Anolis sagrei: one gene and its partner. The main gene of each other region encodes a partner of the protein of the gene in region 2 in a complex. Links are inferred from orthologs where the notes say so. Each region holds a gene or a part of one and is shown on either strand. Other genes may lie near its edges. The genes, in order: NEBL and XIRP2.

Region 1 (16,974 bases), on a different chromosome or scaffold from region 2:
ATTATGCCTTCTGGAAGAAATTTTCCCACAACTGTTCCACTGAAGGCTTTGCAAATCTGAAAGTAAAATACTAATATGGCTCCCCTTGATCTGTAATGACAGAACAGGTTAGTTAGTTAGTTAGTTAGTTAGTTTTTATTTTTGGCGTTCACTGTCACTGTTGTCCATCAGTGTCTGTACATTCCATGTACCGAAGTTCATTTTTCTTTTTTGGCCGCAGGGTGGTGACCCCACTGGACGCGGCAGTCCAGTCAGGGATAAGAGAGGCTGACTATGTTTAGGGCACCTTTTCTAGCCCCCTCCCCATGTGGGGTGAGCAGAGTGGATCCTTAAAAGGACTGCTCAGTCATGGATACAGCTGCCAAACTACTCAACTGCCTCGGACCTTGAGGTAGAACAACTGAGTCCATACCCACTGCCCATGTGCCAGTCTGTGACTAGGGGCTTCCAGATTTCACGGTCCTGCCCCCGTCGCCACTCGCTGATCGCCATGGGACTTTGGTTGGTTTGTTTTTCTTTTTTTTTGGAAGACGCCTGTGCATGAGTTTTTTAAATGTGTGGAGGTCAGTGCACAACTGATCAACACACAGTCTTCACAGAGTGAGGTTCCACTGGTGGTGTAGTTTAACACAATGACCATGGCTTCTCAATCTGTTGCAGCCTTCTTCCACCTTCCCAGCCGTTGTAACACAGTCCCCTCGATAGACTGTCACCTTGTCGTGGGGAGGGGGCTTGCATGTTCCGATGAACCTGTAGGCACAACAACTGGAGTCGTGCACTCCCAGGAGTGGCCACGGGGGAGGTTCCAGACCAAGCACAGTCCGAAGACCTAATGGCGGAGCAGGCAGAGGATAACATGGACAGAACAGGTAAAATAGTCATGATATACATTTCTGCAATCCCATCACCATACAGCCAACACCAACATGATTGTGCAGTTTAACTTATAGCTGAGATGGATAGAGAAGCCTCTTTCCAGCAAATAGTTTTACCCAAAAACACCTTACAAATAAAATTAATAAACAAAATTTTGCAACAACAAGATAACTAAAAGTCATCATCACAGTGCAACTACATACACTATAGATTTCTGTCACACTGAAAAATACTGCCCGAACAACTTAATTTACTTAAGTTGGGAAGTCTCATACTGTGTGCTGACACTGCATTTACAGATTCTTAGGGGAAAGTCTGTCAGAAGAAATGATGCATTAAATTATATCCTGTTTCTGGTATACAGTAACACTTACTCTTAAACATTTACAAGAGCTACAATTCAATTCAACTGGGAAATAATATGGTGCAGATTGTACTGGACAGCAGTTTTCCATTAAATTCAATCTCTACTTAAATTATTACGCATACTTCTGTTAAGGAAGGTCTTTTCATTTTATACCTGAAAGACACAGGTATACTATGAAGAACCTGAAGCGTGTATTTTAATATGTAATGTCTGCTTTAAGATCAGTGAGGATGAATATGTGGCCCTCCACTTTGGATAGTGTTGGAATGCAATTTCCACAATTTCTCACATTTGTGTCACCTGCTGGTAGTTGCAATCCAACATATCCAAAGAGCTGCAAGCTGCATACTCTACCTATATATTAAACCTGTTGCTGTTGTTGTGTGTCTTCAAGTCATTTCTGACTTATGGTGGTCATATCATGTTTTCTTGGCAAGATTTGTTGAGAGCAGTACTTCTCAACCTGTGGATGCCCGGGTGTTTGGCCTACAACTCCCAGAAATCCCAGCCAGTTTACCAGCTGTTAGGATTTCTGAGAGTTGAAGGCCAAAACATCTGGGAACCCACAGATTCAGAAACACTAGTTTAGAGGGCATTTGCCTTTTTCTGAGACAGAGAGAATCTGACTGGACTAAGGCCACCAGTAGATTTCCATGACCAACAGAGAATCAAAGCCTGGTCTCCAGAAACATAGCCCAAAGCTCAAACCACTATACCACACTGGTGCTCTGTATTTCAAATTGCCATCCATATATTACAGATAAGGTACTGTAACTGAAAGGATATCCAACCATCCATTACTCCCAGCAACACCCTATGCACCCTAAAAACTTGATCCAGAACATCTCCTAATTCCCCCAGAGCAGGTTTTTAGGTTACACAGACAGTTTCAGAAATGGGAGCCGCCTATTCCAATAGAAACCATATGATCTAGCTTAAGTGCCCAGTTGGAATCTGACTACCCAGCCACTCCAATATAGAGTGACAATAATATACATTTTGGGGTTGTGATATGATGGCGTCCCTTAAACTTAATGTAGCTCAGCATGTCTTAATATGGTCTTGTCTTCAGACTAAAGTGGAAAATTAGTAGCCAGGTGCAAGACTTAAACCTAAACAGTACTTTCGGTGCATGCCTGCACAATGCAAATAATGAATTACTTTGATTTTCTGTGTAATGATTTGTTTCCATGACTGTACACTATTGTGTTAGTGGCATGATTCAGCTAATATTTAAGTGGAAATGAAATGAGGTGAATGAATATAAATGCATTCTGATTACATTCAGATCACTGCATCATGACTGCTTACTTCACAATTTTGAATAACTCCTGTGTAATCTGCTGAAGTAGATGTTAGGCTAGAGTCTTTACAGAACTCATAGTGTGCAAGAACAGCACACTCACCAATAATTCTGATATTCAATCTGCTGGGCCAACTCAGCAGATAATGATATTGATGAATTTGAAGTGTTTGGTCTCACTCAAATAAGGGCTGTATACACAGAGGGTGCTGTAGCCAAGTAACAGAGAACATGCTTTGTATGGGTTGTTGTAGGTTTTTCGGGCTGTATGCTTTGTATACTTAAATCACCATTTGCACTTCTGTGTCAAATGGTGTTACCAATGGTGAGAGAGATCACCACAAAGAATTGAAAAAATGCTACCAAATTCAGGTACCAGCTTCATCTATACCAAGCTTGGTAAAATATGCCCTATCCATTACAACTACCAATGCTGCCTGTGGTTGATGGGAGCCAGGGCCATAGCCAGAAAAAAAATTCAGGGGGGAGGGATTGAAAATTTCAGGGGGGGGAGAGAGTTGAAAACTGCCTCCTAGCTCACACTGAAGCAAAGAGCACCACAGGGGACAGGGCAGCCTTCAATAGCCTGCAGTTCCGCCCCTGTCAACCACCTCCATCAAGTCTGGCCTCCTTAATGAGAGCATTCAACACCCACCCACCCCAACTTGGTTGCTTTGCTACATCGGTTATTGCTACAAGTAATGACAGTGTGAATGAATTGTCAATATTTGCTTGAGATAGTGCTTGCAGTTCTGGAGGGACTCTTAATTTTTTGCATCTCATAGACTTAGCATGTGGATTTGGTTAACCAGTTAAAATTCATGAGTATACCAGGTGGTTTTTTTTAACCTGAAAAAGTTTTTTTTTAACCTGAACCCCTAACCCACACCCATCCCCGGCTACAGGCCTGATGGGAGCTGTACTCCAGCCACATCAAGGGCACTGCAGTCTCTCATCGCTAGTCTATACCAACCATACAACAGAGTATAAGGCAGCTCATTGTAGCATTTTATATTTTTAGACAAAATAAAAAGCCTGCTAATCCAGGACGAATCATAAATATCAGTAAGAATGCAGAATATAAGAAAAGGAATGCTGAAACAATTGGTCAAGGAAAAGTTAACAAAAATGAGTTCTTCAAGGAAGAGACAAGGCCTCAGGGACATCAAATTCAACTCCATAAAATGTAAATCCAACATGATCTTACTATGGTACCGAATAAAAATCAAGATGACTTTAAAAGAGAGACTTTCAAGATAACCTCCTTGACTATGCAATCTTCCTTTTATTCCTGCTCCACTGTAGGATACACAAAAATGTAGAACATGGAATGTAGAAATGTGAGAAGCTGCCTCATATCTAGTTAGACCACTATTCCAGCTTGGCCAATAATATCAACTCTGAATGGAAGCAGCTATCCGGTGCTTTAGTGAGCATTCTTCCAAGCCTTGACTCATGGTTTTTTACCTAGGCCTCTCTAGTACTCTCTCATCAAATGTTAACTTCCAAAATCGAGCCAAGTATTTCACTAAAAAAACGACTGCTACAAATTTGTCCTCTCCACTATATCACATAGACCAGTTTTTGTATATTAGTGCTAAAAATAATACCAGTTATTCACAAGAAAACACAAATATAATACCTATATTTTAAACTGCAACAATATAATGGGCCCATAGTAGGCACTATGCCATTTGAGGGAACTCTATCCTAACAATGATCTTGCTAATTAATCTATGTTGCATTTTACTATATTGCATCCTGCAGTAGCTGTAAATCTCATCACTTTTCTTCCAGCTATTTAATCCCACTACTGCAACTAAATGAATGAAATATATCAAAAATTAAAACTAACATTAGATTAATAAATAAGCTAAATGAAATAGGCACAAAGAAGAAAACTGCTAGGTACCAATATTATTCATCTATATTTCAACATTTTAACAGAACAGAAAACCTTTCCCAGTCAACAGGCAGATGATGAATCATAAAAATGCAATAAATAACTCCGAGGCCAAGGCAACCATAAGAAGTCAGCAGCTGATGAAAAACAATTCTGCCTTCCCCATTCTCATTTCTTCTATAATCCATTATATTTTTCAAATACAAACTTTTTTGACCTTGGAGAGGAAAGGAGGGCTAATTTCATGAAGAAAAGCGAATACAGAAAAAATATTTTGAGCTTCTAAAAGGTAATAAGAGTTATTTAAAGGCTTATATGCAGGCTTATAATTTACAGCCGAAGTTGCATTTTAAGTAGTGATTTGGAAAACATTGTACCTTTAAAGTCCAATTGCCAGTGTTGTGCATCTATGCTATTGCTCAATTAATAAGTAATGTTAAAAAATATCACTTTATGACACTATATATTTTGATTAAGAAATACTGTATCAAGATGGTTAGGAATAGTATATTTTAAAATAATTAAATGTAATCAAATATTTCCATCATCCTGGTGCCAGAATCTAGTCCCCCGTCCCCCCCAAAGTGCTTATTCTAATGTAGTTTTCTCACAACAATAAAAATGGACAGCTTTGGTCCACAGAGAGAAAGTAATGTTTTTTCATCAAATTCTGGATATAAAAGAGATTCTGAAAGATCACAGTGTCATGACTGCTTACTTCACAATTTTGGCTAACTCCTGTGTAATCCGCTGACGTAGATATTACGCTAAAGCCTTAGAGGACTCACAGTGTGCCAGAAAAGTACAGTCATCGGTAATCCTGATATTCACTTTGCTGAGCCAATGCACCAGATAGTGACAAGGATGAATTATAGGACCAGATTTTTCGATCTCACTCAGATAAAATCTGTGAACAGATGGGGTGCTGTGGCTCAATAACAGAGAACATTGCACCCTCATGTAAAATGATGTTACCAATGGTGAGAGGGATCTCTGCCTAATGCCTTAAAGAAATACTACCAAACACACTGGGCTGCTTGTCTATACTAATGCTTCTCAAACTGTGGGTCCCAGCCCCAAATGGGACCCCCAGCTCAATGTCACAAAAAATAGCTCAATGTCACAAAAAAATCAACAACAGATTACACAAATCTGTTAGCAACATTTACAGTACTTTGCAGAAAATGCTTCAGCTGTCCTCCACAAAAAGCAAAATTGGCCTGTTTAGCAAGCCTTGCAAATGCTTGAGTCCCCCTTCGGAGATTGAGAAGGATGGGATATAAATGTTTGAAATAAATAAATAAAAATAAATGCTGATTTATCAGTAAATGTTTGGTTTTTATATCTATTTCATGCCTATATACTTGGGGTCTCATAAAAATTTATCAGACAAAAAAGGGTCATGAGTTGAAAATATTTCAGAAGCCTTGGTCTATACCAGGATTGGAAAATATGGCCCATCTATAACATCTAGCTATGCAGCCCATGGCTGAAGAGAACTCTACTCTTGCCACATCTCGGGAACCACAGCTGCTCATCACTGGCAGTGAATTCCATAAATTCAACTATGCACTGTGTGAAAATATAATCACTTTAATCACTCTGAATCTCCTACCAAACATATTCATTTGGATCTTTGGTTTTCATATTCTTCTGGCAAAAGGAGAAACTTCTCCATCTACTTTCTGCACTACAGGCATAATCTTTTATATCTCTTCTAAGTAAATGGTTCCAATGTCTCTTTATAGAGGAGATGCTTTAGAATTCTAACCATTTTGGTTTCCCTTTCTGAGATCACTTTCAGCTCCACAACATCCATTCTGAGGTAGAGAAAGCACCTGATGTGCCGTAATAACGGCATTATAATATTGGCAGTTTTATTTCCAATCCCTTTCCTAATGATCCCTAAGATGGAATTTACATTTTGACAGCTGCTATGAACATGCATCAAATACTTTCACTGAGCCATGTACCATGATCACAGGAACACTTTCCTGTTCAGTCTATGCCAGCTAACAGTGCAGCACTAACTCAAAGCTTCAGTGGCTATAGGGGGTAAGGATCAGGCAAAGGTCTCTTTGCTGGCAGAAATCCCCTTCTGCTGGCAAAATCATTTCAGAGATCTGCCAGTAAAGCAACATGCTGGCAGAACTGTTCTGTTGAGTATGATCTACTGGCAGATGAGGCAAAAAAGGAGCAAATAAAGGGCAGGTTCAAGAAAGAGTCAAACTGTGCCAAGTCAATCCTCTTCCAAGCCAGAGACACAAAGCTACAGCGCCAACACAAAATCAGGCTAGAATGAAGGTAATTCTCAATAATTCCCAACATTGGGGAGGGAGATATTGGAAAAAATAAGAACAAAAAGTTAAGATACACAGGCGACACTTGCAGAAATAGGTGATGACTAGAGCAACTATTGAGAAAAGTCAAAGGGGAAAATGCAAAAGCAGTGTTACAAATAAAGACTAAGAAAACAACATAATGACTGCCCATGATTTACACAGCTTTACAGTAGGAGATGTAGACACTGAAATGGTCAAAGACTTACCATATTTTGGCTTAGTTATGTATCAAAACTGACAATGTAATTGGGAAATCAGAAGAAAAGGACTGGAGCAATAGCTAAAAAAGAAATTAATAACATCCTCAAATGCAAAGATATATCAGTGGATACTGAAACAATGATCATCTGTATCACAGTATTTTCAATGTCTGTGTACAGGTGAAAAAGACTGAGCAGTGAAAAAGAAGAATGAAGAATCAATTCATTTGAAATGTGGTGCTGGAAGGGCATTCTACGGGAACCATCTACAGACAAAATTACTAATAAATGGGAAGAGCAAATCGAGCCCGATCTCTCTCTCTCTCTCTCTCTCTCTCTCTCTCTCTAGAAGCCATTATATCTAAATTGAGGCCATTGTACTTTGAAAATATGCTTATCAATTGCAGCTCAAAGCAAAAGATTGAATCCTTCAGACTTAAAAGCACAGAAATTTCATGCAAGTTATTTTCTTACCTGATTAGGAAACTAGAAGAAACATGATTATTAGATGACAGGAATCGGTCTCCAATTTACTTCATCGTTTTCATTTATGCTTTCAAACCAGTGGCGTCTATTTGGTTAGGAAAGAAAATCCACCCATTTATTCAAACAGGAATAAGATGTGATTTAATAATTTGGGAAACACAGCAGATTGTCATTTGAATAAAACAGAATAACAGCATTATCCCATGCATGCCTACCACAACTCCTTTGTTATTTCCTAGGTCAATGCCTATAGAAATACAGTCTAAAATTCTTAAATTAATGTCTTCAGACACTTAAGCTTTGTTGTCCACACATTGGCTTTGATTTTAACATCCTTCCCTGCCAACTCTCACTGCAAGGTGCTTTATCAATTTCCAGACACAGCTTATGCTTGAACAAGTAAACAGGTCGCATAAATGTGCCAACAAATTCTAATTATAGGATTGGTTTTGTTTTGTTTTGTTTTTCAATGTAAACTTAGAGGCTAGAATTAAATCAAGATAGTTCACAGCTCATGATCATCAGCAAGTAGCAAATTTAGTTACATTAGTATGGCTATTTGTGGTGACAGGAAATTTCCAGTGCAGCCTCTCTATACAAATAACATGTCATTTCTCATTTTTAAAAAAAGCAACAACTTGAATCCCTTATACAAAAGTAAACCAACAATCTGACATTCCTGAAGATATTAAGACTACATAAACTTGGTAATGGCAGATATTCTGGAAACATTTATTCAATATTTATTTGATAATCAAAGTTGAATTATATTCTATTACATATGAAATATCAGTGATGATTGAAATAATCCAAAAATAAATGCAATGTATACTCGAAATAGAGCTATAGTTGCAAAAATGAAACATTTGATTTTAGGGGTACCAGAATGGTCATACACAGGTCTAGGTAGTTGAGACTGTGGTGCTTATTACAGTTCTCCTTGAACAGAAAACCTCTGCCTAGGAAGTAGATGTTTACCTTTTTTGCATACCAAAATGACACTTGGATTGTCTCAAGAAATATTAGGTCTTCTGATAATGGAATCATTGATGGGTTTTATGGGATCCATGAACTGGGTGCCAAAATACGACTATTTACACTCCATTTTAATTAGTTATCATTTTCCCCATCACTATGAACTTTAAGATAATGTTTTGGTTTCATTTTGCTGTAATATGTTGTCCAGGCTTGGGCCCATGTAAGCCGCTCTGAGTCCCCATCGGGGAGATGGTGGGGGGGGGGGGGGTATAAATAAAGATTATTATTATTATTATTATTATTATTATTATTATTATTATATATGAGCTGCAATCTTCAATATCCAATATAACTACTATGACAAAGTTCTACCATCATAGGTACGTCTAATATATAATGTCCCTCCTCAAAAAAAAAACTTTCAGCCTCAACTGAAAGGTTTCCAAAGAACTGGAGATCAGGATGCTTGGAAATGGTATCTGAAGTACTCTCCCAATTATGAGACACACTGAGAACAGGCAACTGGAGAACCTCCTCAAGGTCTCATGGCACCCTTTGATTGGGCAAGGAACTATATCTGAAACCCTTCAGTTAAGACACTGTCAGGATAAAACAGTAGGTTTTGTAGTCATTCCTGACATTAATGACCATAAATTATGTCCCAGCACTGAATGTTTGCCGTATATATGTTGTGCTCCACCCTGAGTCCCCTGCGGGGTGAGAAGGGTGGAATATAAATGTTTAAAATAAATAAATAAATCCCCAATAGTTATGAAATCACATATCCTGCTTAGAACCTTGTGAATAGGATGTCAGCCATGTTTTGTTTTTGTTTTGTTTTTCCAAATAGGCACTGCAAGCAAAATGTTGCACTTACGTGCTTATGTGTATTTTTCTGGAAAGTATGTCCACATGTTTGATCAGATTTTCAAAGGGGTTAGTAACCCAAAACACAGTGCAAAGCACTTGAGGATCGTCTTACTATGACAATAAAGTTGGTGTGAAATTTCAGGGGGCAGAAGGGATGGATCCAACTGTTTTCCTCCATCTGGGTGCATTGCAACAGACATCTACAAACAGATCTCTGACCGTCTTCAGGAGGTCCCTCCAGATGACATCATTAAAGCACCCAATAGTGAATTATGCAATGGCCAAAAAAGTGAGTTGTGATGGTGTAAGTCTGGCTTACACTACAATAATTCACCAAGAGAATGCCAGCCAGATATTTTAAAGCAATTATTTAATTACCCTATTCACCATGTTAAAACTTATAATCATAAACATATTAACAGCTTCCACCAAATATTTGTGTATAATTATAAATTTTAATTTATCATTCAAAAATCCATCTGGTAGTCACTGTTTACATCGTGATTAGCATATGATTTTGTCATATTTGAAATGAATAGATTACATATAAATCCATGTCAGCTGAGAAAGCACTCTTAATATCAAGATCATTTTACAATCATTCACTGAAGATGTTATAAAAATGACAGACATAATAGATTGCTGAATGTCACTCCCAAACATTTCCACAATGTTCAGGAGTGACATGCACTGTAGAATTAATGCAGTTTAACACCATTTTAACTGTCATGGATCAATACTATAGAATCCTAAGGCACCAACACTCTTTGGTAGAGAAGGGCAAAATGCCTTGTAAAACATTGGGCTATGGAAGTTAAACTGGTATCAAACTGCATTAATTCTATAATGTAGTTGTACCCAAGGAGAGTACAGGTAGTCCAAGTTATGAACATGATAGGTTCTATAGGTTTGTTCTTAAGCTGAATTTGTATATAGAAGGAACAGGTACATTTTCTAAGTGTAACTACAGCCAATTGTCTGAGGAACAGAAAGTAACAGAATGCACACATACACACACACACGTGTGTGTGTGTGTGCACACTTTGCTTAGCATAAGGAAGTGTTAACAGCCTTGTGGTGTTTGGTTTGCTGTCTGTGCCTGTTTTGAAGATTTCACCTCATTTTCTGTCCCTCTGACAACTGGATTTTGAAAAATGTGGAAACAAGAATTGATGGTGAAGTGAAGACACCTCTTCCCTATGATAACTCTTTCGGAAGTGAATTTTCCTTCCGAAAGGTAGTTTTCTCTCACTTCCTGTTCCCCGTTCTTAACTATGTCAGCTGGATGTCTGTAACTCGGGGACTGTTACAGACTGCTTACCTGAGACCAGGAATTCTTTATAATAATAGTTTCCATTACTATGGCTGCTTCCTCCAAGCAGTTTGGGAAAGTACTAACTTCTCTCTAGGATCTTCCACCAATATCACTATATGGTGCTAAACCAACACAATTGTGAAACTACCAAGAACAGACAAATGTGTATACAACATCCCACTGATAAATTAAAATGTTCATTTGCAGATAGTATCAAATGTTAACAACATGCTTCTCTGATCACATTGTAAAAAAATGCTGTAGACGCCACAACGGCATTGCAACTGGATAATTATTTTACTAGATTTTATATTACTTTATAAAAACTTGTTCATTTTCTAAACTCATTTCCTAAATTGGATGTTAAATTTTATATACTTTTCACACAAAGTAACTTTCACAGCATACTGAAAATTAACTGTTACAAGAAAAAGAAATAAAGGCACCTGATCACAAGTAAGATAAATGTGAAGTTCCTGCATTCTCAGCAAATGCCGTAGTCAGACAACTCCGAAGCCCAAAATCAGTGTGCTGTCCCAGCAGAATAGATGTGAATATTTTAAATTTGAAATATTGAAAAAATAATAATTTATAAGCATCTTAAATCACACCACACAAATTGGAAAATGCACAGGCAATTTAAAATGCCCACCCAACCATGGAAAGGTGAACCAAAATGTCTAAAACTTGTCATTAAGAGAAGCAGTTAATTTATTTAATACTCCGAGAGCAATCCATATAAGAAAGACCTATTTTTGACTGCCATGACAACAGAATTCTATCAAGCCTTTTACTTGGGCTATATGCTTGCTCTTCAAATCAGTCCTGTCCTCACTGTTTAGTTATAAATTTAGACCTTTAATATTCAGTAGAATTTGGCAGGGTATACATTTTATATAGAGAGACATCTCTTCATAAGAAACTTGCCTTTCGGTAGGTTGCACTCCAACCATCTTACCTTTCACATTCTTTTGTAGAAGACATCAAGGTGACTGCAGGCATAATAGTCTTGATGTCTTAACCATGGCTTATATCAACATTGATGCAGGCATAATAATGCAATCCAATTAATGCCAAAAACAGAAATCCACACATTAGAGGGAACAAAATAGCAAACTTACCAGCCAGTAACATGTTTTCCTTCTCTTCAACATCATCAGAACACCTGAATCCATGAATCTGCTCTTGACACATCATTATGATCTGAATTTGAACAGTGCTCTTCTCTCACTCTTCCTATTCTTTCTGAAAAAACTTCCACATTTTACTTAAGAAACATTAACATTAAAGGAAGCAAGCAGAATATTCATGAATTGTGTTATTTAGTCACAATATATGAAGTCTTCATTTTAACGACTAAGAATTTCAGAGGACAGCAACCATAAACCCATTTACTTACTTTACTCACTGATCAGCCATCTCAAACATATTCTGAAAAGTCACAATTAAAATGTAAACATTTGTTTCTACCATAACAAGATACTTATAAGATTGTTACAGGCTAAATAAATAAATGAATTTTTCATTAACTGTAAACCTATTAATTCTACTTTACTTGGAATTACCAATTGGATTTAGACTCAAACACTTCATAAAGCCAGGCTTAATGGAGTTTATCATATCACATGGAATCAAAATCAATGGTGGAGGAATTAATCCTTATTATCAAAAGTAATCTTATAAGCAGATATAAATCTTACAGTATAAAATATACAGGAAAGGGTCTTATATTACACTCCTGGGTGAATGAAATTTCAAATATGTATGCTTGAAGTCCTATATCAACCATTTAATATGCATGCTTATGCAGGGAAACTGCATGAAATCAATTATTTAAAATAATTAAAACATTTTCTTTATGGTTACCACTATGACTTCGATCAGAGCTGAGGAAAGTCCAGTCAAAATGGTCCTCCCAAGCCCCAAGTTCTTACCTAATTTTATAATTGTAATTAAAAAAAATAATCTGGGAAGGAAAAAAATCACCTGGCCCCTCACTCATTTACCTTTTCCCTAAACTTCTATGTCCTTTTGGTATCCTCCCAGATTACTTCCAAATCTTCATTAATTCCAAGGATTTATTCATAAGCCAATGTCAACTTGCAGCACAAACTATTCCTCTAAAATGTCATTGAATTAACATAACAAATCTTCTTCCTATCTTCACACCGCCAATAGTTGGTTAGAAAACTGAAATAATGATACCTCTGGAGAGGATGAGAAACTATGAAGCTGTGACATTTGTTTACACCATGGCTCACATTTCAGACTATTAATCTCCATGGTACTTGCTGTGAGCTCTTCAAGTATACGTTTATGCATACATATTTTTATCTTATAAATAACTTTTGCACTTTGAATAAATAAATATTGACAATAGCTTGGATCCTTCCAAATAACACAAAAAACACAATCCCAGATATTTGCTTGCGCAAGGTCTCCAAGACCCAAGAGATGATCCAGATCCACGTCCTTTTATCATTTTATCTTGCACTGTACTGCAATCCTTGATACATTGTGGTGCTCCACCATGAGAAGTCTTCTGTTAGATCTTGAGCAATGTTCACTGAAAAAAGACTTGTTGTTCCACTCACAGTTCTTTGTATATAAGGTAATATTTCTTGTGAGAAAGGTAATTCTGGAAGCTGAAGTTATTTGTGAAATCATTTTGCAAATTTTACCCCAAATAATTTGCAAAGTATATCTATTGCATAATATTATTAAAAATAAAACTTTGCAAAATAGTCTTAATTGCAAGAATGTTTTCTAGCATGTGAATTTTTTAACAGTCAGGATAGGAATATTTGACAGTAATTGGTTTGGAGAGGGAACACACACACTACCAATGTGCTGCTAATGTAAACCAAATCTCAATCACACACACAAAGTCATCAAATATTCCAGTTTCTGCACTCATACAGATTCCAGACTGGAAACCTATCAGCCATCTCCAACCATGCCTTTTCATTTGCGCACCATTTCTCTGATCTACTGTCATTGTCACATACATTACTGATTTGCTCCTGAGTCCTTTTCAGCCTTTGCAGTTCTGGTGTGTCAGTTACAATGCTGAAACCTCTTCCTTTGCTTTCTTCAAAGTCTCGTTTGTATTTGACCTATCAAACAGAAAAAAGATAACATTTTATGTCATCAGATAATAAATTAATAGAAAGTTATTCCTGATGAATGAATGAATTTTATTATTACGGTCACAGACCAGGGGTGTAAAACTTTAAAACATTAAAAACAGAGTGTTTTTTTAACAAAAAATAGTTAACATTAAGACCAGAAATTTACAACACTAAAATGAATGAATTTTATTAAAGTCCATAATATGGAGCCAGGCCCGTAGCCAGGATTTCATTTCGGGGGGGGGGGGGGGGGGGACCCTAAAAAATTTTCAGGGGGGGGTTTCGGGGGGGCTGAGTCTGAGTGAAAGAGGGTCTAGCCTAGCAAACCTTTTGTATCATTACCCCAATACCCCCATGCATATGGGATATATTGAGTATGGTGATCAGATCATGATATGAATAAACATAACAGTTTAAATAATGCACCAGTAAGGCCATTTCGCGAACCACCATGAGAATTTCGGGGGGGGGCTGAAGCCCCCCAAGCCCCCCCCCCCCCCGGGCTACATGCCTGTATGGAGCCGATCTTTGAAATGCATTTTTCATAATATAATGTTGTTTGGCAGCCAGAAACAACTGAAAGTAATGATAAAATACACAGCCACCAGCATCTTAGCAGCTGCATACCAATTTAAAAAAAAAAAAACAGTGCCTGATCATAGTCAGGAAGGACAGCTGAAACTTTTGTGATTACAAGTTCCTATCTTGTGCCTTTACCAAAGGCAAAAGATAGGAACTTGGATCAGCTTGCTTTCATATTCACTGGCAGACTGGCCAGAATGTCAGCGTGCCCAATGGCAAGTGCCTCTGCCCTCATAAACATTAGACAATATGTTAAAAATGTAAATGACCTTTTAGTAGATGGAAAACAAAAGCCACTAAAAGGTCATTTACATTTTTAACATATTGTTTAATTTTGGGGGAGGGTGGCAATTTTAGTAGCTTGAAAATCACATGCGCAATGGAGGACCTTACAGTGACATCAGAGGCATTTGAAGTGGCCAGCTTCTGGTCAAAGGAAATTTAGCATAATGCTAAGTTTTTAACTTTGTGGTTTTTATGCATTATAACTGTATTCCCAAATTGCTTCTGACACAATAAATAAATAGCTTTAAAATATGAGGTCCAATATTACTAGTGTATGCAACTAAAATTTATGTTGAATTACTATTTTAATAAAATAATAATTAAATCAATTTAAAAGATGCTTTATATTTAAGAATATAATAATTCTGAAAAGCATAATTCTGATTCGAGTTCTGTGAGACTGATGCATACATCATTTACTACCTCATCAGACTGAGTGATTTTATCACCCTGTGATGCTTTCCCCCCTGTCTAGGGGACAGAGGTTGACAGGTCACACAATGCTGTGTGACATCAGGTGGAGGCCCTGCTCACATCCAGGGTAAAAGTATTGCTGGGTGCCTCCACCCCAACATGGGAGGCTTCCCGTATTGTGCTTGCCTCCAAGTTGTGCTTGCTCCCTGCAAGGGTGAAGCTTTCCCAATGTGATGAGGAAAGTGTCACAGAGAGGAAACATAATGCAAGCCGACTGATTCGCCCCACTGCTCCCTCTTTCCTTACAGAACCTCAGTGTAGTGGGATGCTTTGCCTGGGCTTTCTGATGAGGTCCATAGGCCTGTCAGCTCTTTACTATCTCTCCTGGTAATCAATATTTTTAGACCTAGCCCTCCACTGTTCATATGTATTCATGAGATTCATTTTAAAGTGATAACAATTTAACTTAAAACAGTGACTGATATAAATAACCAGATTGTGTGCTCGATGTAGCTACCAGTCAAACACAATTCTATTCAAAAGTATACTATACTGTTCAATAAATACTGAACATTTTGCACAATTTAAAAGAATAGAAGTGTTTAAAGTTACTTCTGTGTACTACATAAATTTATTTTATCATATAAAGAATCTTTTTGAAAATATTTAATGAATTTGAACAGTTTGCACCCTTTCACAAACAGAAGACAATGTAGCAAAATAGGACAACTTCCCACAATAAGTCTCAACATCGCCAACTACTGTACCCAATAAACAAAAAAAGAAGGAATGGAAAAATGTATTGTATCATTAACCCAATTGGAAAGATTGCACAATGTACAGCTATTTGAAATCAAACTTCAAAAGAAACCAGGAATTGAGGGAGGATGGGAGGAGGTAGGTAAGGATGAAGAGAACAGACTGCCACTAAAAAGCATCAGAGGAACATACTTTCAGTGCTCAGAATATACATGAAGGAACATCTTAATTTTTCATTTGTAAATTGAACTCATAGTGCATTAATAGTTTTGCAGATCCCCAGACTACAGCTGGCCAAATTTCATCAATCAATCATCCTGCTTTTTCTAAACTGTTGTCATCCTCTGCTTTTATTATCTTGTTCTTTTTTGCTATTTGGATTGTGCATCTGAAAAGCACACAATAAAGTAGCCCTTTCAAAGAAAAAGTGTGACTGAAGATACCAATGATTGAACCTGGGACTTGAAATGTTCAATACATGAAGTTTTGAATGTCTCAGTAATACACTATAGTCTCTCCTGTCATGTGTTAGCATGAGTAGCATGAAGATTGACTCTAGCCCAGTTAACTGTGTGTGTGATGAATTGGCTCTTAAAAGAAAAACACACGAGACTTCAGCTTAAAGTAGAAAAGAAAAATATTGTAGTATTGGTAGCATACAAAAACAAAGTAGCAGGATTACTGTTTCCACAAAAGTAACATGAAACAATATCTTCTGAGAGATATCACTACTCAGCTGAGATAAGCAGGAATCCTTGTCCTCTTCTCATGGCTGTGTCTTCGCAGGACATCTGCAGCATAGTCCCCGGCTTACACAAAGCAGAACGGCACAGAGGCATAGATGCACAATAGCATAAACGCACAATGGCAAATGGCTAAACACACAGTAGCTATCTTTATACACATGAAAATAACACTCTCAATTAACTCTTCAATTAACTGAAACAGCTGTAGCACAAACAGCCTTGAACCTTACAGCAACTTAAAGTTATAGCACAAACAACATTGATCCTTACAATAACTTAGATAAAGTACGTTGCAACCTCTTAGTAGCAACATCTCCTACCCAATGTTTTTACACCTTAGTGTTCCTCGTCTTCCTTTCACCACGTCATTTGAAGTCGTCTATGTCTTGTCCTAAGCTCATTATTAAGCCAATAATG
Region 2 (16,486 bases):
TTTCTGAATTGCCAAGAGTATTGAATACAAAACCTGAGCTCTGAAGTCACCCTGTATTTACAGCCTCATGGGATTTCAAGTCATTCTGTGAAAGCCATATTGTTGCTATAATTTGGTTAGTTTTCCATGCATACATATTTCTACTGTCACTTTTGTTTTCCTGTATTTCTTGCTGTATGCCCCTGTTCCCCTCTTGTGGTTCTAGAGTTCTCTTGGCCTGCCTTCTGGCCTGGAACTCTGTTCTTAGCAGGTGAGAATTTGCCCCTTGTTGCCTTAGAGTCCAGGAATGTCCTATAAGACCCATAATCCTCCTTATTGAATAGAATGGAATAGTTTAATTGTCATTGTACATTATACAACAAAATTAAACAGATTAAATTAAATTAAATAGATGTGTGTGGTTGTAGTCTCCCTGGTTGAATTGGACAAGTGGTAGGAAGAACTTAGTAGTCCTTAAGCCAGGTATTGCACTATCTTTGACTTTTTCAGGCAAAAAAGGAAATTAAATTGCTGATCTTGAAAGTCTCTAAGAGAGGTGCTTCACTTTTAAAACTGACCACACCTCTCCTCCACACTGTTCCACTTACAAACCTTCATATTTCAAAATCAGGAAATTGGCTTTCTGCAGCTTCCTAGCATTGTTATAGTTTGGCATTTTGGGCAGTTCATGTGACTCCTTCAAATGCCGTGGGGCAGAAAAAAATGGCTCCCAAATTTGCTGAGATTGCCCATTCTTGGTGTAAAGCCAGAAATACTTCTTGGCTGAAAGCCATCTTTACAAAGGTCAGTACAGGCAGTCCCCAAGTTACAAACTTACCAATGGCTCATAGCTAAGAACAGGGGTGAGAAAACAGGAAGTGAGGGAAATCTACCCTAGGAAGGGAAATCCAGTCCTGAAAGAATTATCCTAAGGAAAAGGTGTCTCCACTGAAGCTTTATCACCAAGCCTTGTTTCCACAACAAGCCAAACTTTTCAAAATTCAATTATCACAGAGACAGAAAGCAAGGTGAAAACCTCTGAACAGGGGAACAAACAGCAAAACAAATGCCACAGGGGTGTCAACCCTTCCCTATGCTATCCAAAGCACACATAGATGTGTGTATGTGTGTATACACACACATGGCTGGAGTTACACTTAAAATGTATTTGTTTTGACATACATACTAATTCAGCTTATGAGCAAACCTATAGAACCTATCTTGTTTGGAACTTGGAAACTGCCTATATTGCTAATATTCCTTAAGGTTTTGCTGAAAGGTTTACTGGAGCAAATTCCTAAGGTGGAATGTCTCAGGAACCTGATCTTTACAAGCAATGTATTATAGGACCAGAGTTTGTTCATCTGCCAGACCTCACAAAAGGTGATATTAGAACTTTCTTTTATTTTTGTGTGAATTGTTTATATACTGCATATTTATTCTGTATATTACTTGTACGTTTATTTTTATTACTGATGTGTTTGACAAGTTTATTGCCTTATGGTGTGTTGACTGTAATACAGACTTTGACTGAAAAGATGAATCCTTCGATTTCTTAGCCTAGAGCTATGCTTTGGGTACCAGAAGTCGATAGAGCTTCAGTTCAGACAGAAATATAGATTTGTAACGTTCTCATATTACTCCATTCTTGCATTGTGATTCCCCTGTAACTGCCATGGTACCTTCAATGGGATTTTGGGTCTTAGAGTTTGGTGAGGGACTTACTAGGAATTCCAAACACCTCTCACCAAACTGCCAATCCCAGGATTTCATGAGATGTTTCCATGGGGTTAGAATGGATCACAATTCTAGAATTGTGTAATATGAAAAGGTTCCAGGAGTATATCTCTGTGTGAACTGTAAAATACATACTAGAATTGCATAATGTCAACAAGCCCTTGGTTTCATAATCCAAATTTTCTTGATTTCTTTACTGTTCTTTATTTACTAGAAATGGCAAACAATTGGAAGGCAAAAACCCTTGTCAGTCTACTGCAAGTCATTTCATGAGCATCCAGGTCTATCTCTTCCCACTCCTTCCCTGAGGGAATTAAGTGTAAATGATGCATTAAGACGCTGAAAATCAAGTGAAAAGAAAGACAGAATTAAATTTCTGAGCAATGACACTGTTGATTATGAACAGATTCTGCTTAGCTATGGTTGTCCATTTCCACCTCTCATGTATATGAAACTAAATATATGAATACTTTGATTCATTACTACTAAAAAAGACCATTTTGAAAACAAAATGTTCATTTCCATGATGCAATAGCCACACAATAATTCTCTCAGAGCACAGATGAGTAATACAAATGTCAGCATATTCTTCACTACATGATTTAAGTGTCCAGTTTGGCGTGTCATCAAGTGAAATATGGGTTGTTTTCAGCTTGAATTTCATAGTTTATGCTACAGCATATGAAATCATTTGGCTAAAAATGCAGCTTATTACCCCTTAGATGTTGACAGCCTAGCTATTATAAATATCAGCAAGCCTGTTAGAGCTCTTCAGGACCCTGATATATGAGTCTTCCTTGTAGAAAATATGAGAAAAACCTCTTTTTAAATACTATGTTTCTGAGAAAAGTATATTTTCCTAGTGGGAATTCCAGCAAATATGTTTGGACAGCTCTAGAGCCCAATGATCTAGCTAATGCAGAAATAAGATTCAGTTTGAGCACATCTCTGACAGGTTTCCATTCCCTCCTCATTCACCTTGCCACTTTCCTTGCTGAAGATTTACGTGGCTCATGACAAGAAATAGTGCTTCCCTAAAGGAAGATGGATCAAGGTTGATCAGGAGATTTCACCACTGTGCATAAGCAGAGCAAATCAAATTGACTTCGTTAATCTTATTTTGCTGGCATTCATATTTACAGGTCTTAATGCAAAATGGGAGATGCTGCTGTCCATGCCTTGTGGGATAACCCACTTTGCCTAATTTGAGGCGTCTGAGAGTTGATGATATCCACAGCATTCTTCTTTCTCATTTGGTTGTCATTTCAGGGTGCATCTACACAGCCAGATTATTTGGCAGTGTAGACTCATATATTCCAGTTTAAAGCAAATCATCTGGGTTCTGAACCTGGGATATAAGGCAATGTAGATCCAGCCTCTGGCCCATTCTACACTACCATATAAAATCCAGATTATCTGCTTTGAACGGGATTATATGGCAGTGTAGACTCATATAATCCAGTTCAAAAATGGTAATGTGGATTGTCTGCTTTGATAATCTGGATTATGTGGCAGTGTAGAATCCATAGATAAAGTCCTAGTATATACAATAGCACAGTAAAACAGTGCCCCTTGTATAAAATGGCAAAATCAAGGCTTGCTATTTGGATTTTTTGTGGGGAGGGGATAATATTTTCAAGCTATAAATGGTGGAATCTGTAAAAGTAGAATCCGTGGATACAGAGGGCCAACTGTATAACCATAAAAACACAACTTGACATTTATAGTCTTGCCAAAGAAAAGGGAGGGGAAAGTACTATACGTTTCTCTATACAGAGAGAAATGGTGAAGAAGTATCAGGGAGAAGGCAAGGGCCAGATGATGGTATATATCACCAACCCACTGATATGAATGGTGCTTTCTTCTTTTCTCGTAGAACTATGGAGTTGGAAGAGAGCACAAGGGCCATCCAGCCCAACCTCATTCTGTCAAGCAGGAATACTCAGTCAACTGCTAAACACCTCTTACTATCAGGAAGTTCCTTTTGATGTTCAGGCAGAATCTCCTATCTTGTAGTTTGAATGCATTGCTCCATGTCCTAGTTTCTGAAGCAGCCGAAAACAAGCTTACTCCATCTCCAATATGGCATCCTTTAAAATATTTAAACATGGCTATTATGTCCTTTCTGAATTTTTTTCTTCTCCAAGCTAAATATACCAAGGTCCCTGAGGTGCTCCTCATATGGCTTGGTTTCTCATTGAATTAACATTCTGCACAATTAATACAATCTCAGTAAATTTAGCAGGACTTTGTGCACTTCTGCCTGTAACTCTTCAACAAGAGATCCTTATTGTTCTTCAACAAAAGACCGTTATGATTGCTTTATATTGAGAAGTTATATTCTACTGTGACTGATCTAACCTCCTGCCACCCCTCTTCAGAAAGATTTTTTCACAAAAGGCAGGCCCACTCATGTAGAAACAAGAACCCATGGCAATGAAGCCAGTGAAATTGCTGTTATGATGAAGTCATCTAAAGTTATTGACTTGTCAGATTGGTTGAGGCAGCCGATTGGTCAGTCAGTGCCCCCTCCCTACTCAGTGACCAGAAAAATATATCTGTCACTGAAAGTCACTTGATGTCACTACTTGTGAGATACAGGTTGCTTTGGTTGTTTGCAGCTTGTCCAACTAACTTCCCATGGGTGAATATCCAGTCACTTCAGTTTGGCACACCTAGCTTCAAGAAGTCTATTCTGCCTTGGTTAGACCACACCTGGAATACTGTGTCCAATTCTGGGCACCACAATTTAAGGGATGATTTTGAGAAGCTGGAATGTTTCCAGAGGAGGGTGACTAAAATTATCAAGATCTGGAGAATAAGCCCTATGAGGAGCAGCTTAAAGAATTCATGTATGGCCTGTAGAAGAGAAGGCTGAGAGGAGACATGAGGATCATGTGAGGGGAAGTCATAGGGAGGATGGAGTAAGTTTGTTTTCTGCTGGCCTGGAGATTTGGACACTGAACAATGGCTTCAAACTAAGGCAAGGAGATTCCACCTGAACATTAGGAAGAACTTCCTGACTATGAGAGCTGTTCAGCAGTGTGGTGGAGGCGCCTTCTTTGGAGGCTTTTAAATAGAGGTTGGATGACCATCTGTTGGGGGTGCTTTGAATGCATTTTTCCTGCTTCTTGACATGGGGTTGGACTGGATGGCCCCTGAGGTCCCTTCCAACTCTATGATTCTATTATTCTAAGATACTACTGGATTATCTCTTCCCCCTTCCAATTTATCCTCCTAACAATCCTGTAAGTGCATCTTCAATGTAGAACTACTATGGTCTGATGTGGTGGGAGAGAGAACGATTGGCCCAAGGTCACACAGTGAGCTTCATGCCTGAATGGGAATTTGACCCCATGTTTCTCTAGAGTATTGTGATTCGGGAAACACTATGCTTACTTGCTCTCCTTATGTACATTTAATACTGGATGGTGCATTAAACTACTATTTTTTTCAAGTCTGGTTTAGGCAATGTTAGGTTGGATGTAAAAATATATTAGCTAATTATACAGGCTATATCCCTATGCAGTGAAAAACAGGGGAATTCTTTACAGTGACTTCAAAACAACCATCTTGAAACTTCCAAAACATAAAACAGTATCTGTACTTGGAATCAAGTATTTGAGTTTTGTTCTTATAGCACTGGAAATTTATGGCAAACTCTGCAGTTTTTAAACAACCAGCTATTAACATTTAAATAGCATTTTCAAAACATTAATAAATCAAAATTACTTTGCAGAAACATGACACCATTCTGTCTCATTCTATCCTAAAATCATTAAATATATTTTAAAGCAATCATCTGAAAAAGAAAAGGTGGAATGCTCTTTCCTTCCTGAGATTGGAAAGCACAATTCATCCTTTTATTGAATGCAGCTTTGATTATACAGTCACCATTTTCTTGAAGTATTTTGATGATCAAGAGCACTCTTTAAGAAAGGCCCTGCACTATTTTTTAGTGAAGGAATTTACATGTTGTTCTGTTTGAAGCTGGGAAAACTGTCTTGAAGAGAACAATCAAAGTTGTTCTTGCTTGCATTTTATTTATTGCAAAAAACAAAAAAAAAATCCCCAACAACAACAACAACCTTCCCCAAACATTATGCTACTGAAATCTGCCTTTCAAAATTACAGGATGTCAAATACATTCTTACTTTACAGCATCGAATGCAGGTTTCTTTAGAAGCCCATCCATTTATTATCATATCACTTCACTTTGAATCTCTGTCGGGAAGGGGTAAAATCCCTCACATAATGTTTTACTGTCTTCCTTGTTCAATATATGGCATGAAAGCAAGAAATCAGATCAAAAAGTGTTATGCTAACCTTCAGCGCTGTTGTTCAGAGCATTTTCGGATGACATCTTGTCAAAAATTGTTTTGCCACCTTTTGCTTCTGGGTCTTTCACAGCAATGATGGAATGGCTCCCAGGCTGATTTTTAAATGCTGGTGATTGCAAACTTCTCTCCATTTCTACTTCCTGTTGGAAAATATTAAGGGGATGTGTATTAAAAGCTATCAGGAGGAAACAGATGTGGTTCTCAGTGGGAGGAGGATGCAAAGAGGTGAGGGAGGGAGCAGTGGGGTTCCATGGCATGATTGATGTTTTCCAATGTGCTTCAGGGTAAATCACTGTAACATTTCCGAGAGTAACAAATGTAGTTTTGCAGTCAGTTTACATTTCAACACCTAGAGGAACTGGGCGACCACAGCAGCTCTCATTTGGTTTTGCTTTTTTTCATGTGGCCCACATAACTTTTCCAGAAAGAAAGAAAAAAATCACACAGGGGAAAGTCACAAGAACAAGGGCCATGGTGTATTTTTTTTGAAAGATGTGGAAGTTTCAATCTCACTTGCAGGCACTAGTCCAAAGAATATGTTGGCCTTGGATGCAATGGCTACTTTACAGGTTAATTTTACAAGTAATTGGTTCCTGTTAGCCATGCTAATGTTTTTAAAGCAGTTGGATTAGTATGTTTTATCATCATCATTATTCCATTATTTTGCAGTATCGTGGTTTTAACAGTTTTACATTGCTTATATGCCTTTATCTGTAATTATGTATATGATGGATCATATCTTATTTGATTGTATATGTGGCACTGAATATTGCCATATTGTAAGCAATTCTGAGTCCCCCTTGGGGTGAGAGAGGGGGAGGGGATATAAATATAGTAAATAAATGAATGAATAAATATCTAATTTTATTTCTTTACAGGGAAACTTAGGATTGATAATAAGAGTGGCACAAAGCTAGAAAATGTCTGTCAAAACATCATTTAAATTCTTTAAATGGCCTTTAAAAATCTCACTACATACCAATTACTGCATACCAATACAGTAATTTTGTTCACATTCGGTATGTCCCTTTTGACACAGAACTTCATTCTTCATTCTCCTAACAAACGGTAAACTTGTTTTTTTCCAAGTTCAGACTGCCAGTAGATGGATGAGTCACTAGTACTATTTAGCAAAGTAGACTAAAAACCTAAAACTTCTGTGATTCTATAACACTTAGCCATAAAGTGGTTTCAAACTGCATTCATTCTGCAGTGTAGATGTACCCTTGTCTCCCAAGTCATGCCTTGGATATGTAAGCCGCCCTGAGTCCCCTTCGGGGTGAGAAGGGCGGGGTAAAAGTAAACCAAATAAATAATAAATAAATTTGCAGTGTTATTCCTAGTGGTAAAGGAAGCAGAAAAGGGAAGGACTGAGCAAGTACCAAACTTAACCTGCTTCTAATAAAAAAGATCAGTTTCAAACATATTTGTAAAGTTCATGACTCATGACCTCATCACACAGGGTTTTTCACCTATCCTAGGATACTACCAAATTGCAGCCAGGGCAGAGCTTGCCGGAGCCTATCACATAACACAGGGCTATTTCTGGTGGGGTTCTGCCTTGGCTCTGTGTCAGCAGTGTGTTTAGAGGTTACTCTACTGCCCCATGGATTTGCCCACTCTCTCCTGGCTTATGGACCTCCATCTGATGAGGTCTTCACAATGCAATGTCAGACATGTCTGTTCCAAAGTAAGCCCTTCTCAGTTTAGTAGAATTTGTAACATTAGTAAATACAGCCTCAAAATGCCTATTTACCCTACCACCATCTCAAATGCAGCTGGTGGGAACGAAAGGGGGTAGCCTTCTCCGTGATTGTCCCCTCCAAAGATATCAAAACAGCTCCCTCCTTACCCTCTTAAAAATTAAAAATCTACTTTTGTTCCCAAGCATATTGAATATCATGCATAGTCACAATGGAGTGGAAATGTCTGGTCACTCAGGCTGGTGGCTGCAAAAATTCCATTTTTTACCTTATTTTGCTTTGTTTAGATTTTGGCTGTTTCTTCCCAATGTAAGATGCAGAATCGTATATTTGTTATGTTACTACTTAATTCTTGTTAATCTGTTGTTACTTTTGATGTAGATGTGGTTTGTTTGGTGTGGTGGGTTATTTTGTCTTGGGCTATTTTGTCTTGGGCTTTTTATGGCATTGAATATTTGTCGATATTTGTTGTTAACCCTCGGGGAGATAGAGTGGGATATAAATAAAGTTATTATTGTTATTATTATTTTAATGACACAAAAACACAGTATGTCACAGCAATCAAGATATATATGCTGGATTTCGTATCACAAAATCACAAGCGTCTAGGACTGTGTGATGTATTTTCGAATGATGCACACAGATCCAAGTAAGGTGGCCTTTTGCAGATTGTTATTGTTATTATTATTATTATTATTATTATTATTATTATATCTGGGTGTGGAGAAAATTCCCATAGTTCTATTGTTATGAACCAATCCGAATTTAGTGATGTTTCGACTGAGAAACTTCAAATCTGCAGGAATTCTGGGTGATTAAGAATGGTCCTTCAAATAATGAACTCTATATCATGCTTTTATCAACAAAGAATGGTGCAACAAAGCTGGTTCAAGTGGTTAGGGGTCTTTTCATTTCAGAGGGATTTGATAGATTTGCTGCTGCAGAGGAGTGAACCCAATTTGGATTTAATCTCTGTTCCTCCTGCAGCTGCTAGCTGTCCTGGGGCTGGACCCCATCTCCATAAAGGTTTTGCATTAGGAGAACTCCTCTACAATTCAAAGTAGATGCAGAAAGAGCAGGTATAAAATTTATCTATAGTTTTTGTTTCAACAGAGCTACCAATTGGGAAAAAGGCAACAAGACACTCTGGGGTAGGGGGAGGTATTTGGAACAGTGCTGCAATTCACATTTTGAGACATAGAGCTCCAGAGTCTTCGGAATTTAGTATGATTTGCAGTTGACAAGTTCATATCCTTATGTTTATGGATACATTATTATGATTATTAATTTCATGTATACTTATGCTGCTTTGAGAGGTAGGTATACATAACAGTAATAGGAATATTGAAAGACATATCAGCAGATTCTCAAACAGAGACATGGATTGGAGTACCAACAATGGAAAAATGGGTTGTTAAAATGGCTGAGTAGGCCAAAATTGCCAAAGTATTCTGAATTTTAAAGGACAAACAAATTGAAGACTTTTTGAAACACTGGAAACCAGTGATGGACTTTTTTTAAGGAATACAAAATCTAACAGTGTAATGATTTGCAGCTATGACTGTTTGGGTTTAATTGAATTTGCAATGGAATAATATTTACCCTTTCTTATTTTTTTTTCATTACAGTCAGAATTAGAGGGTTGAACTCTATTGTGTGTTAGTTGTAGGTCTTTTTCTCTCCACCTTTCTTTCTTTCTTTCTTCCCTCTCTTTCTTTATTTTAGAATGTATTTTATTTTGAATATGAATTTGATTTCAGATAGTGTTAAAATCAATTAACAAATAAACTGAAAGAAGCATGAGCTGAGTGATTATCAACACGTTTTCACACACTCTCAGTGGCATGAGCATTTAGCAAGGGAGGCATGATATGCCTGTGCTTGCCTTCCTAATAAAACCTACCATCCTGGAGTGTGCATGAACCCACCCTGGATGCATATTTAGATGGTGGAAATCTAACTACTATTTATAAGTTAGACATAGGGTTCTGCGGAGCCCTATGCCCAGTTCTCCATATTGTTAGGCCTGGATGGAGATCAATTGTGTCTCTGATCTTCTAAACATACAATATGACCCATGTATTTATGGAACTTATAGTTTCATTTATCTACTTCTGTCTAAATATGAGTTCTCTAGACATTTTCTATATATAACAATATGCCTCTGTGGTATTTTGGGGTATGAAGTCTTTCATTTCAATGGAATTCACTATTATTTGTGATTTCATATAATCACACAAATTCCTACAGATAAGGGAATTGTTCTGTATAATTCACAGTTCAAAATTTACAACTCTGGTTGTAAATACAGCATATCTATTCACACACACACACCAATGCATTTATGAACTGAGAGTTGATGGTTTCAAAAGAAGAGAAAATATAAGAATCTGCATCCCTCCAGAATATTGTGATCCAACATATTCCCACAATAGATAAATAAAAACCTCTGAATGACGGTTTAAGGACTGCAGCCAAAGAGGTTTGGCAGGTGTCACAATTATGTACCTGTCAAAATGTCAGTTGACTTAAGATTTGTCAGAAAAACTATAATGCAGAATTAGAAGTGTGCATGTCCTTCCCCAAACACCTAGTAATGTATGTGAATTTGTGAGATTTTAAATATACCAGGGACCATTTTAGTCAGGGCAGAACATACTGTGCTAAGCAAGGTGGCTAGAATTACTGTCTAGTGTCTACCCTTGCTATTTACTTCAAATCTAAGCCAAGTTCTTGAAAGTTCCCAGAGTGAATTGAGGCTTGCTGTCAAGTTCTTGTCAGATATGGTTTGTCAAGCCATACTCTTTGTTGACTACTGGATACACACAACTATTTTGTATCACTTTGAAAGTGCAAAGAAGCAAAAACAGGTTTTAACTTATACAAATCTGAAACAACTAACATGAGAATGAAAGAGTCTTAGACCTTTTTTCTACCTAACATTTTAATACCTATCAACGAGATTTACCTGACATGCCTAAAATAGTAAGCAATGGGAAAACACCTGGAAAATGATATGTGACTTTTGGACTGATAAATGCTTGCACTCATATTACAGTAATCCATTGGTCTTCATCCAACTAGTAGCCCTTATTAGAACAGACCCATTGAAACAAGGATGCTACTTCCATCTCATGGTTGATTCAATGGAATGCTTCTTGTTGAGACAATCAATTGGATTCAGACCTTTGCTGTTATTTTCCACCACAATTATTTTCCACCACAATTTTTCCAGTTTATCCCATGATATGTTGTTATTGTTGCCATTGTTGTGTATTTTCAAATCATTTATTACTTATACAACCCTAAGGTGAACCTATCACAGAGTTTTCTTGGCAGAATTTGCTCAGATGAAGTTTGAGATCCTTTTGGAGAGAAGAAGTGTGTTATAAATAGAAAGGAGGAGGAGGGGGAGGAGGAGACATCTCCAACAGGTAAGGGCAAAAATACCCACCCACCTCCTCCCTGCAGCTAAACCTTCTCAGCTGGGGAAAGCAGTTACCATCAGGGGTGACAAATTTGAGTGGATCTTAATGGATAAACTTCATAACACCACAAATATAATCCCCATGGGTCCCACAGCAATAGAGAGCTAACCTCTAGTATGGCCTATCAAATCATTTATGACTTATAGCAACCCTAAGGTGAACCTATCACAGAGGGGTTTTTGGCAGAATTTGCTCAGACGAAGTTTGCCCTTGCTTTCTGAGGTTGTGTGTGACTTGACCAATATAACCCATGGTTTTTCATGGCTGAACAGGGCATCATAGATCAGCTTTCCTACTGTCTGGTGTTTGAATCTGATCTCAGTCCAATTACAGGAATGATTCACTCTATTTTATGTAACTGATGAAGAAGGTTGATGTGAGGGTGGGAGTTGAACAACATTTGGAGGGATGCAATGTCACAACTCCCATGCCAGAGGACCTCATTTAAGATGTTGGCATGACTAACTGTTCTGTGATAACTATGTTACAGCCAATATTTTTGAGCTAATCAGCTGCTTTATCAGCATAGTGGCAAAACAGAATTGGCTGACGAACCTTTTACTGATGGAACTCTTAGAAAGTGGGATGTTGCAAGGTCCATGGATAGTGCCTGGCCACCCCAATCTTTGCATCTTCAGTTGATGTCCCTGAAGTAAGCATGTGGATGAGTCCTGTAGTTGAAGATGTTTACATGCCTTCAAAGTATGCAGATATTGGCTGAGATCTTGCATTGAAGAGAACTTTTTCATAGAGTTTGCATAACAGTGACACTATACAACCAAATGGCCATTATCCACTAAGGCAGGCATGGGCAAACTTCGGCCCTCCAGATGTTTTGGACTTCAGCTCCTACCGGCTGTTAGGAATTGTGGGAGCTGAAGTCCAAAACACTTGGAGGGCTGAAGTTTGCCCATGCCTGCACTAAGGCATGTTGTGCAATGTGCAATCAGGTAACAAATACACAATGTGGAACAATGTCCAACACACAGTCTACCATGATCTACAAAGGTACCATATGCATAATTCCACTTTTGTATCCTTGAACTACACAGATGTCACACACTGGACAAGAAAGTCCAATTGCATACAGAGGGCATTTATTCATGTGCAAGACATCAAAAGGATGTCAGCCATTTAAAAATGTGCAGAAAAAATAGGCCACTGGTGAGCGGTTTACTTCTCCAACGCTTGACTTGCTTCACAGTGTCTGGATCTATGAACTTTTTCCTCCTGTGGCCTCCGTCTGCATAGTCACACAAGCATAGCAAACTGGTATAATTCTGCTCACCAAATCCATATGATATGGAACAATGACTCTTAACCTCTTTAGAGTCATAAAAATAGATGAAAGCTATGATGCTCCCCTGAAAAATGCATTTAAACACAATTTTCAAAGGAGCATTGTGGTAATAGAAAGGGAGGACTCTTTTTGGCACCTGGTTCAATTATGTGCTCATACAGACACACAAAAAGCAATGTCTATGTAAACTGGATTTTTATGAAAAATGTGTCTATTTGAAAAAGATTAGAAGAATGACATGAGGGAGAGCATTCCCTGTAAATATTTTTCACTTCTTTGAATTGACCATTCAAGTGGCACTGAAGAATTCTAACAGCTAAATCTTTAACTCACCAGGATGAATACATTTTACTTCGATTCTCTCTTGAACATAAAGCCTTGCAAAAGGATGCTTTGTGTATTCAAGATCCAGGTTTTGTCCTGACTTTTATGTAAAAAAGAAACACTTCAAGCATTATTGAAATGACAGGTGCATATTCAAAATACCTAAATAGAGTATGTTTCTGAAAAGACAGAATCATATAAGAAGATCAAGGGGGGAAAGTAAGTAAAACTACTTGTTCTAATATATATACTTTAAAGCTATCTAAAACCAAGCGCATAATCATCTCTGACACATACTGTAGTGTTTTAGACATATTTGAAGCTAATCTGAATACCTGATGTTATAGCGTAATTGTGTTACCTGTAGCAGCGGCCATTGTTTAATTCATAAAAGAAATTGCTATGGCCATTAAATCAAGGATGAGCAACATGTACTCCCAAGGGCTGGGGATGGGTCCCAAGATCCTTCAAGGGTCACTTTTTCAATGCTCCCATTTTGCCCCAGAATGTCACAAAATGAGGAGGAATGGGTGGTATTTTCATCACATTGGGAGGCCTTGTAGGCAGGCATGTAGCCAGGGGGGGCTTGAGGGGCTTCAGCCCTCCCCCCCCCCTGAAATTCTCATGGTGGTTCGCGAAAAGGCCTTACTGGTGCATTATTTAAACTGTTAAGTTTATTCATATCATGATCTGATCACCATACTCAATATATCCCATATGCATGGGGGTATTGGGGTAATGATACAAAAGGTTTGTTAGGCTAGACCCTCTTTCACTCAGACTCAGCCCCCCCCCCGAAACTCAGCCCCCCCCCTGAAAAAAGTTCACCCCCCCCCCCCCCCCGAAACAAAATCCTGGCTACAGGCCTGCTTGTAGGGTCAAAACACATTCTTGCATTTTTAAAAAAATCTTTGGCCAAAAATGCCTGAAAATATCTGACGAGTATGGGAAGGACCAAAAACATGCTGGAAACGTTACCTTGTCTCCTAGGCATAGTCTGTGTCCAGGTTGGTTCATCAGGTGCTCTGCGATGGCTGACTTTTCTGGTTGAAGTAGTCTGTGGTGCCTTTCATGTTCCTTGATTCATGTTTGGGCTGTGTGTGGTGGTCCCTATGTAAACTTGTCCACAGCTGCATGAGAAGTCAGCCATAGCAAAGCACCTGATGAACCAACCTGGACACAGCATATTATCTGAGAACACAGAAATGCTGGACCACTCTAACAACTACCATGTCAGATGACACAGAGAAGCCACTGAAATCGACAAGCATGTGGACAATTTCAACAGAAAAGGAGGAAAGCATGGAAATGATCAAAATCTGACTACCAGTATTTAAAAAAACTCTAAATCAGGACAATAAATAAAGAACACTCAGAAGACAGAGGAATTCCCGACAGGAAACAATCAGGGTAAGCTAATACCTTTCAACAAAAGATCCTTCTAGGCAGCAATCAGCCAGGCTTTGAAGCTACAATGCCATTAAATGCTAACCAAGATGGCCAATTGCAGCATTCACACTTCAAGCAGACAAGAGTTCTTTCTCTCACTCTGGACATTCCACAGATATATAAACCTCACTTGCCTAGTTTCCAACAGTCCTTACAACCTCTGAGGATGTTTGCCATAGATGTGGGTGAAATGTCAGGAGAGAATGCTACTGGAACAGCAACCCAGTGATTCTGGCTGTGAAAGCCTCCAGGTAAAGGTAAAGGTAGTCCCCTGACATTAAGTCCAGTCATGTCTGACTCTGGGGTGTGGTGCTCATCTCCATTTCTAAACCGAAGAGCCAGCGTTGTCCGTAGACACCTCCAAGGTCATGTGGCCGGCATGACTGCGTGGAGCGCCGTTACCTTCCCGCCGGAGCGGTACCTATTGATCTACTCACATTTGCATGTTTTCGAACTGCTAGGTTGGCAGAAGCTAGGGCTGACAGCGGAAGCTCACGCCGCTCCCCGGAATCGAACCTGCGACCTTTCGATCAACAAGCTCAGCAGATCAGTGCTTTAACCCACTGTGCCACTGGGGGCTCCTTGAAAGCCTCCAACAACTACCTAAAAAATCACTTCATGATTCACTGGAACCCTAGCGATAGCATTGCTGGTCCTCCTGCCAGTGAGGCATTGCATGACAAGCAGGAGCAGCAGGACCAAACAAGTTATGTTGCAGGAGCGGAGTGGTTTAAAAAGAGAAATAGCTTCAATATAGCCATGATGAGTCTTTAGAAATCTCTCTCCCCTCCCCACTTTCTCTCTCTTCTCCTATCTAAAGTTTTGATAATGAGTAATGAAACTTGTAGTGGAGAAATGTGATGTGTTTTATAATTTCTTTTCATATTTTTCCTTTTTTTTTCTTCATAAACTGAGTTAATATGGTTTCATATAGGAACTAGAAAAGGTTATAATACTTCTTTTATCATAAAAACATGCTCTTTGACCAACCTAGAGGTGGTTGAAACAATAAGCCACTTGCTATTTTGAAGCCAGGGAAACTGAGACTACAAAGGGAGAAAGTCAATAAGATGCTTTAGGTTTTGATTAGTCCCACAATGATTTTCACATTCCAGAATTTGCAACTGTTAAATATTAAATGTTCCTTCTATATACTCCATTGGATCTGGATTTTCTTGTTGCTGTTACATTAACATGCTGACAACAGAATAGGAGAGCTGTTGACACTTGATAGCAATTTAGTGAGAAGTAAAGGTTTTCTAGGGAGGAAATCATTCAACAGTTCCGATATACATTTTAATGCACAAATTAAAATAAAGAATGCCTCAAGTTTAAAATCAATAAAAATGATAAGCCAAGGGAGCTTTAAGTCCTATTCTCTAGGTAACTTGACATTTTCTGATGTATTTTAAGACCAGCTACAGAAGCTTAGGATATTGCAAGATTCCGCATTTGAAATTAATAATAAAATAAGGCTGCAATACCATATGGACCTATATGGAAGAAAGTGAGCTTTGTGGCATTTACGTCTCACTAGACATTAAAAAAGAGCCAGCATAGTGTAAGACTCTGAGAACCTGGGTTCAAATCCCTCCTCAGCCATGGAGCTGAGGCAAGTCAAACTTTTTCACCCTTAGAGGACAGCAATGACAAACGCTCTCACAATGAATTTTGCCAAGAAACGCCTCTAATAGGGTCACCTTAAAGTTGCTGTAAGTCAGAAAGAACTTGAAAGACATAAGAACAAAATGTACAGGAGACAGCATTGTACATGCCTTATTGAATAATGCCTAACATGCACATCGGTTGTTTTTTTGTTTACCTGTAAATTAGGCAGTGGCACTAGTTGTTGCAAAGCTGTGGCTGCCATCCTATGCCAATTTCTCAGTGAACAGAATGTGTGCTTTTAGTATACATTGCACAGAATCAAGAACTCTGCTGATATTGACCAAACAGAAAGTGAGAGGCCCTTTGTTGTTCAGTCTTGTACAACAAAGAGGAGGTTAAGCCAAGAGCAGAGTGCTTTTGGCCGTGCAGCTTTGGATTGCAATTCTTCAACGCCTTTATCACTGGAGGGCAAAGATTCCCCACCCCAGACAAAACCTTTTACATTCCAGCTCATTCACTTTGCAGTTCTAAGTGTAATGGAACAGATTACCAGATTTA

The links.
Region 1: the proteins of XIRP2 (region 2) and NEBL are in contact, whole or in part, in a crystal structure (PDB 4F14), measured with the Homo sapiens proteins. The link is inferred for Anolis sagrei from reciprocal best matches to the Homo sapiens genes XIRP2 and NEBL. Residues at the interface, in NP_689594.4 of Homo sapiens: Pro2420, Pro2421, Pro2422, Thr2423, Leu2424, Pro2425, Lys2426, Pro2427; in NP_006384.1 of Homo sapiens: Tyr963, Asp964, Tyr965, Asp969, Asp971, Glu972, Ile987, Asp988, Asp989, Gly990, Trp991, Met1004, Pro1006, Asn1008, Tyr1009.

The regions. Positions count from the first base shown.
Region 1 is NC_090026.1:107,519,272-107,536,245, forward strand, and holds the start of NEBL (nebulette), read right to left. Parts: upstream 8,239-16,974; 5' UTR 7,466-8,238; intron 1-7,465. UniProt on the Homo sapiens protein: Binds to actin and plays an important role in the assembly of the Z-disk. May functionally link sarcomeric actin to the desmin intermediate filaments in the heart muscle sarcomeres.
Region 2 is NC_090021.1:196,394,847-196,411,332, forward strand, and holds the start of XIRP2 (xin actin-binding repeat-containing protein 2), read right to left. Parts: upstream 6,203-16,486; 5' UTR 6,188-6,202; coding exon 6,043-6,187; intron 1-6,042.